Linked DNA regions of Pelodiscus sinensis. The protein of the gene in region 2 purifies or fractionates together with the protein of the main gene of each other region. This does not show direct contact. Links are inferred from orthologs where the notes say so. Each region holds a gene or a part of one and is shown on either strand. Other genes may lie near its edges.

Region 1 (3,749 bases), on a different chromosome or scaffold from region 2:
AGATGTCTCTCTCTTTTTTCCACTTCCTGAGAAGCTCTTCTTTCTATAGCTAGTGTGTTTCCTGACCAGCTCCCCAGCCATGATCAGCAGACAGACTCTCCAGAATCTACATGCTTTGGATCTTTCTGAAACCCATATGCCTGAGGGCAGGAATGAATGTGTGTGAATGAATGGAGGTATGTATGTGCCTTTTTGTGTGTGTGAGAGAGAGATAGCTGGTTCCCTCCTCAGTTTAAACCTTTGGTGGCAGCTCTATCTTTATTTTATCAATAAACCAATGCTAGTGTAACCCTGGGTAGTCTCCAGTGGGAATTTTCTGATAACAGTTATTACAGTAATAAATCTAAGAAACTAAATTAAAAAAAAAACAACAATCCACCTCTCCCTGTCATAGCTCAGAAACATTAACAGGAGTTTGACTTTTCAGATAATGACAAACTGCATATTATGACTCCCCCTATTTTTTAACCCAATTTTAAAATAGCTACATCCCTGTAGAGTAGGGTTGCCAGGTGCTTTCCCCTACGTCTTAGTGCTCAACCGCTCCCCTATTCCTATCCCTGCACTCACTCTTAAAGGGGACATACTGTTTTATTTTAATGTTTTTTGGCATACTTGGAGTCCTTTTTTTTCCCTCAACAACTTTGGTCTCCCCCCCCCCCCTTTTATTCCACTTCAACAGAATTTTTTCCCATTTTTGGGGGGGGGGTTGGTATTTTTGTTTCAACCATCTGGTAACCGTACTGTAGAGAGGTAGCTAGACATAGGGGCTGTGTCTACACTGGTGCGATCTCGCACAAAAGCAGCTGCTCGCGCAAAAACTTGCTGCTTGTCTACACCGGCCGTGTGTTCTTATGCAAGTAAACTGACATTCTAATGTATAAAATCTGGGCTTTTTGCGCCAGAACTCTGACACTCTTGCTCAGGAATAAGCCCTTTTGTGCAAGAGCTCTTCCAAAAGAGGCCAGTGTAGACAGGCAACATGAATTTTGTGCACAAGAAAGCCCCCTGGTTAAAAATGGCCATCAGAGCTTTCTTGTGCAAGAGAGCGTCTACACTGGCACGGGTGCGCTTGTGCAAAAGCACATCCCAGTGTAGACTCTCTTCTGGAAGAGTTTGCCTGAGAAAGCGCCAGTGTAGACATAGCCCAGGGAGAACTGGATTTATTGTGGTAGGGTGGGAAATGTCCTCATGCTTTTTTAGAGAGCCTTGTATAAAGGTGGGAAGCACCAATTGCTGTTGTATAGCAGGAATAATGGCACTGATAACACGGGTGGGCTGGGCTCTCTGCTAGGATGATCGTCAGTTCTGGGCTGGTCACTGGGTCACCACGCATGCCCCAGTGCGCGCCCGGAACTACAGCTCCCAGCATGCCCCAGTGCGCGCCCGGAACTACAGCTCCCAGCATGCCCCAGTGCGCGCCCGGAACTACAACTCCCAGAATGCTCCATCTTCAAGCAGGCCCCTCCCACCGGAAATATGGGTCCTGTTTTCCGGCGTCTGCGGTGCGTTCCTCCGGCGCGGAGACAGGCCTGGAAAGGGGCCAGGCTGAGGGTCCTGTGAGCTCTGGCGCTGCTCTAGCGGGAGCTGGGGCGGGGGCTGCTGGCGCTGTGTGGGGCGGGGGCTCGGGCACGGACAGTGTCTGGTCCGAACTAGACGTTTCAGTCGCTCGCGCGTCGCGGTGTTTGACACCCGCAGGCGCCTTAGCGCGGCTCAGTGACACGCACCGAGCGGGGCGGGCGGGGCCGCAGCACCCGCCGGTCGGTTAACCGGTGACGGTTGGGTGGCGCTAACGTTTAACTGATGCCCCAAGTGGGGTCCAGGCGGGGGCTCGCAAGCTGGGCAGGAGGTGGCAGAGGTTGCCCTGGATGGGAGCAGCACCAGTCCTTGGCATCTAGGAGCTGGTGCAGGCCCCACCTGTTGCCAGTGACTGGAACCTCTAAGCCAGTGGTCCCCAGCCTTTTGGGGCTGCTCGGTGCGGGGCTGCTCACACCTCTGCGCCCAGGGCAGGGCCGCCCATGTGCCGTATGCCTGGGGCCAGCACCGCATGCACCACGTGGCAGGCGCACATAAATGCCTTGGCAGGCACCATGGCACCCACGGGCACCACGTTGGGGACCACTGGTCTAAGCATTACCCAGCAGGAAAAATTCACACCTCAAGAGACAGAGTTAAGCAGACCTAGCCTATGTTGTGGACAGCTCTAGGTCAGCGGAAGAACCTTTCCCTTGACATAGCTCTCATTTATCAGGAAGGTGGAATATATACAGTTTGTGTGTGTCGGAGGGGGGGAGAACCCCTACTATTTCTATAGCAGTAGTCTATTTAACATCCTTCTCTACACTGAAAAGTTAAGTCAACCCACTTATGTCTCTTAAAGGCATGAAAAATGTGCCCTTGTGAGTGACACAGTGGAGCTGACCAATCACCCTCTCTCCTGTTCCCTCTGGACAGTGGAATGCCAATAGAAGAGTTCTTCCATCAACCTACCTGTTTTCTCTAGGAGGTGGATTAACTACAGTCATGGGAGAACCATTCCCATATCTGTAGCAAGTGTCTGCACCCAAGTGCTACAGTAGCACAGCTGTGCAATTGTAGTCTTTGAAGTGGAGATGTAGCTTTACTTTGCTCGAGCAATTAGTAAATGGCACCACCAAAAGAACTGGTTTGCCTGTATAGGTACATCCACATTAGGGTTCTTAGTGACATTTTATTAAAACAAAATCACACCCTAACCAACACAATCATGCCAGCATCCCCTTTAAACTATACACCTGGACTTTTCCTTATTGATGCTTATGCAACATGATGCTTATTATTGTCTCACTGTTCTGGGTTGATTTGTTTCCCCCCAGGTACAGATGAAAATGGCAACATTGGGCAGATCCTTTCAAGGAGTTCCTTCTGTGGAATTTCCTCAGACTCCAGCAGCTCTCTCTGAGAGTACCTTCCAACCTGGCATCACACAGAGTGAGTTGCAGCCTGGAACTGTGGGGCATGAATATCCCCAGCAAAGCATGGGGGCTACGGCTGGGAATGGAAATGATATAATAGAAGGCTCTGACCCCACCAACTCATACCTGGACCTTGCTTCCCCAGCTGCAGTTGGAAGTTATGATGACACCTTGACTATTGCAACAGTTCCTTTCACAGACTTTGAAATCCCACCAATACTATTGCAGCCGCAGATTCGCACCCAGTAAGTACAAAAACAAACAGGAGAAAGGTGGGGGACAGCACCTCCTAACTATAGTAGATTTGTCTGACCAGCTAACTTTTCAGATCTGTAATTTGTATCAGTATTCTACCGGGATTGATAATTTTCAAAGAATCACAGAAGATTAGGATTGAAAGAGACCTCAGGAGGTCATCAAGTCAATCCCCTGGTGAAAGTAGGACCAACCACAACTAAATCATCCCAGTCAGGTCTTTGTCAAACCTCACCTTAAAAACCTGTAAGGAGGGAGATTCCACCACCTCCCTAGGTACTCCATTCCAGTACTTCACCACCCTCCTAGTTAAATAGTTTTTCATAAACTAAAACGTAGAATCCAACCTAGGCCTCCCTCAGTGTAACTTGAGACCATTGTTCCTCATTCTGTCATCTGTCACTACTGAGAACAGCCTCTCTCCATCCTCTTTGGAACCCCCCTTCAGGAAGTTGAAGGCTGCTATCAAATTCCCACCCTCCATTCATCTGCAGACTAAATTAACTCAGTTCCCTCAGCCTATCCTCATAGGTCATGTGC
Region 2 (3,749 bases):
GTTTTACAGCACTTTATTCTTTTTGTACTTTTTACACCCAAAAATTGCATTGCCTGCCCAGCTACGATTAAGTTGTTTAAACAAATGTGTTGCAATAATAGAAAAAAAATTGTGAGTCTGAAAACTGTAGGTACTGGGGGGGGGGGGGTACATATAATTTTTCTTAAGGAGTACCATATTAAAAAAGGTTGAGAAACACTGTTGCAGCATGCACGTGCTCCCCAGTAAGTACAGGCACACAAAAGATGAGGCAGGTACAGGGTGCAAAAAAAAACAAGAGAAAAATACACATGGATTGGGCGAAGGAGTAGGACCACAACCACAGAGCCTGCTCCCCTCCCTGGGGCGTGCAAGCTACATGCAAACAACCTTCTCCAGCAGAGTGTGTACAACGCACGCGTGAAAACCCAACCGTATTAGGGGCCACGGAAAGCACATGCAAATGTGTTTCTCTTACACGCATGCGCAGACACCGCCTCTCGGGAACTCCAGCTCAGCCCCCACCAAGCAGAACGTCCCTCCTTTAAACTCTTGGAGTCGCCCAATAAGGAAGCGATGATGACGTAGACCCGCTCCGCTCAATCAGGACATAGCGCCTCGCATGTCGTCACCTTGTTCCTCAGAACCAATGAAACGAATGGAAAATTCCAGAAATGTCTCTAACCAATGGACACGGCCGTTAGAATCACGAGGGGTCTCCAGGCCAATGGATTTTGAAGATTGCTGAGAGTATTAGAGATGCTAGCCAATCACATGGGCAGGGCGGGGGGCGTGGTCCTAGGTTGAGATCCAATCACAGTGAGGGCGGGTAGAAGGAAGGCTCTTCGCGGGGCGTATTGATTGGCATACCTCCAGACTTATGAGACGCGGGGTAGGCGGGGCTAGTTGCGAATTGACATCTATGTTCTCGTATCCCTATGCGAATCTCAATAATCCCGCCCTGTTGGCGCTACCGAGGCGGAGAATAGGTAAGGCCCGGCCTGTGAGCGACACCCTTTCTAATCTATGGTGGCACTGAGGGGGCGGGACCCGGACGCGTACCAACCAATGGGGCGGCGAGGGCGATACAGGAGGCTTCTAGCAGGTTCCAGAAGGCGGCGTGAGACGGGGTAGGCCGGCTCGGAGGAGACTTAACCGGCAGCGTCCCGCAAAACTGGGCCCCGAGCCGGAGCCATGGAGAAGGTGAAGGGCCGGGCCTGCCAAGGAGCGAGCTGGGCTGTGTGCTGGCGGGCGGGGTAGCTGCAGCCTGGGGCAGGAGGTGACAGCTACGAGGGACGGCGCCTGGGGAGGGAGTTGGGGGGCAGGAGCGCGGGGTGGGGTGAAGCCAGGCAGGGGAGGGCCCGGGGTAGGCGACTTTGCCTCGAAGAGGTGCAAAGGTCTGGAGGGAGCGTGCTGCCAGATGCGTTTTAGCCCCCTCGTGTAGACGGGGCGAAGCTGTGTGTTAACCCGCGCTGGTTGGGCAGGGACACCCCCCCTTTCCGCCTATCGCTTCTCTTTACCTTGATTGCATGAGAGTGCCCGAATGAGCGACGTGAACGTGCCTACTGAAGTGACCACTCGGGAGAGGGCGGCTGGGCTCTGAGGCTACTGCAGAGCCGTCTGGGGCAGTGGAGCAGGTGTGAGACGAGGTAGCCGAGAGTCCTAGAAGTTGGTGGTAGCAGGGTTTCTGGGAAGCAGGCATGCGGGAGGAAATAGAGTGGTTTGGGCAGGAGGTTTCCTCGGAGCTAAAAAGGGGAGCACGAAGAGATGGACTGGCTAGTAAAGTAGGTAGCACAGGGAATCTGCATTGAATGTGAACAAAATGTATAAGATTGATTGTGTGTGTGTGTGAGAGAGAGGTTCAGTGTGCTGTCTGGAGATATGTAGCTGGGATGTAAGTACCATCTTCTCATTTTCTGCCTCACTTTTGCATGTGCATGCAGAAGTCTCCCTTGCCTCATCCCCCTGCAATAGAAGGCATGCCCAGGAAGGAGTAACTGTTCATGCTGAGTAGCTGTTGAGGTCTCCAAGCAACTATGAACTATGTATTGCATTCTAATGCTGGAGATGGCGGCTGTAGACAGACAGCTGACCTGCTGCTTAAACAAAGCCTATTAAGGTGCAGTAAGGAGACCCTGGAGTATTCTCAATCGAGGAAGCATTTGGAGCAGATGTACAGGTGGCATAATACAAAAAATTGTCACCAGAATCTCCCTTCTGCTTGTCCCATTTGAAGAGGGCCTGTCGCTTTGGTATGGGTAAAGGCTGCTCAGCTGACTTTGCTTCTTGAAGCATAGCAGATCACTGACTTGAGGAAGCTGCTTTATCTTGGAGTAAAGCAGTTTTGTTAACTTCACGTCTTAGTTTAAAATGTACGTTGCTATGGAACTAATGTAATTGAGGTGCTTATCCTTGCTAGAGCCTAGGTATACTATGGGTGACGGCAATGTGAGTCTCCTACACAAGCACAGCATTGCCAGTGCCCTAAAGTCCTGACCTACAAGATCCCAACTAGGGATGTTAAAATGGGTGTAATAAAGTAACTGTGTAAAATTTTCAGCAGTTACACGCTGAGTGGCAGCCAGCTCCTCAGGAGCTACTGTGTGCAGAGTCAGCTCTCCATATGTACTGGCTCCTGCCTGCACCCCACGCTGCTGCCTCTGTATCAGAATACCTGTTCATCATTGCACACAGGCAAACAAAGTTTGCACATTACACTTTCATATCCTGTGTTTGTCAATGCTCCTCAGTCCTGACATGCAGCTTCCTACTGTCCAAGTACTAAATTCCACCCCTCACAGCTTTGCTGTTGCCTGTCAATCCCAACTTCCTCCCCGCTTCACAAAAGGAATTCCTCCTGCCTCCACCCCTGCAGGCATAACTCCTGATTTATCTCTGCAAGTCTTCATTTCTGTCTTGCTTTCTGGCTTGAGCAAAAATGCCCAGGTATTGCAGTATTATATATTCCATACAAATGTTGGCTAGGAACTGGAATGAAGCTCATCAAAATTATCTCTACTTATATGGCTTGTGTCAGAGTGTAAATCCAGTTCTAAAATGGGCGGGGAGAAAAGTTCTTAGTTTGTATCATCATCTCTGAGCTGTTGAGCCCTGGCACTCACTAATTTTCCGGCTAAACAGTAAATGGTCAGGCTTACTGGTTAACAGGCCCTTGCCATCTCTGGAGTTAACTTGCCAGCTGTACCTGGAGAGGCCAGCTAGCAAAGTGGCAGTATCCCAGAACCAATGTGGGACTTAGGTTGAAACAGTTTTAACTGGTTAATCATTTTAACATCCCTGTTGAAAATTAAAATAGAATGTAAAGTGTGGTGGTATTTTTTAAAATTTGATTATTCATGCTTCTGCCCCAAATAGTAAGGCTCTTACGTTGTCAGCTAATTTGGGAGCTTCAGGGGGTAGCTGAGTTAGTCTGTTACAGGGGAAAAAAAAACCAGTAAGCAAATGGTCTGGTAGCACTTTATAGGGTGATCCTTCAAAAGTTTTTAGAGGTAGTAATTATTTTGCTATTCATGGCATATAATTTAAAGATCTATTATTGCTCAGGCCCCATCAGTACTGAAAAAGGAGTTGCATTGTAATAGTTTTAGGGAGCCATCTTAACACTCCCTGTAGAAGGGAGACTTTTGATGTAACTGGGACAAGCTTCTGTTTGTACTGGCAGAGTTCAGGTTATAAAGTACTTGGAGAGTGGAAGTAATAGGCTGAGAAAAATGCAAATTTTGTATGCAGACTTCCTAGGGAGCTCATTA

What was found. The genes of interacting proteins can lie anywhere in the genome.
Region 1: the proteins of STIP1 (region 2) and CCDC117 purify together in Homo sapiens (affinity purification with mass spectrometry; 5 studies listed by BioGRID and IntAct, counting the BioPlex papers as one, with this or other methods). This does not show direct contact. The link is inferred for Pelodiscus sinensis from reciprocal best matches to the Homo sapiens genes STIP1 and CCDC117.

Annotation. Positions count from the first base shown.
Region 1 is NC_134725.1:41,662,422-41,666,170, forward strand, and holds the start of CCDC117 (coiled-coil domain-containing protein 117), read left to right. Parts: upstream 1-1,429; 5' UTR 1,430-1,442; coding exon 1,443-1,505; exon of another isoform or gene 1,506-1,559; intron 1,560-2,855; coding exon 2,856-3,199; intron 3,200-3,749. UniProt on the Homo sapiens protein: Facilitates DNA repair, cell cycle progression, and cell proliferation through its interaction with CIAO2B.
Region 2 is NC_134721.1:33,441,550-33,445,298, reverse strand, and holds the start of STIP1 (stress-induced-phosphoprotein 1), read left to right. Parts: upstream 1-1,026; 5' UTR 1,027-1,173; coding exon 1,174-1,182; intron 1,183-3,749. UniProt on the Homo sapiens protein: Acts as a co-chaperone for HSP90AA1. Mediates the association of the molecular chaperones HSPA8/HSC70 and HSP90.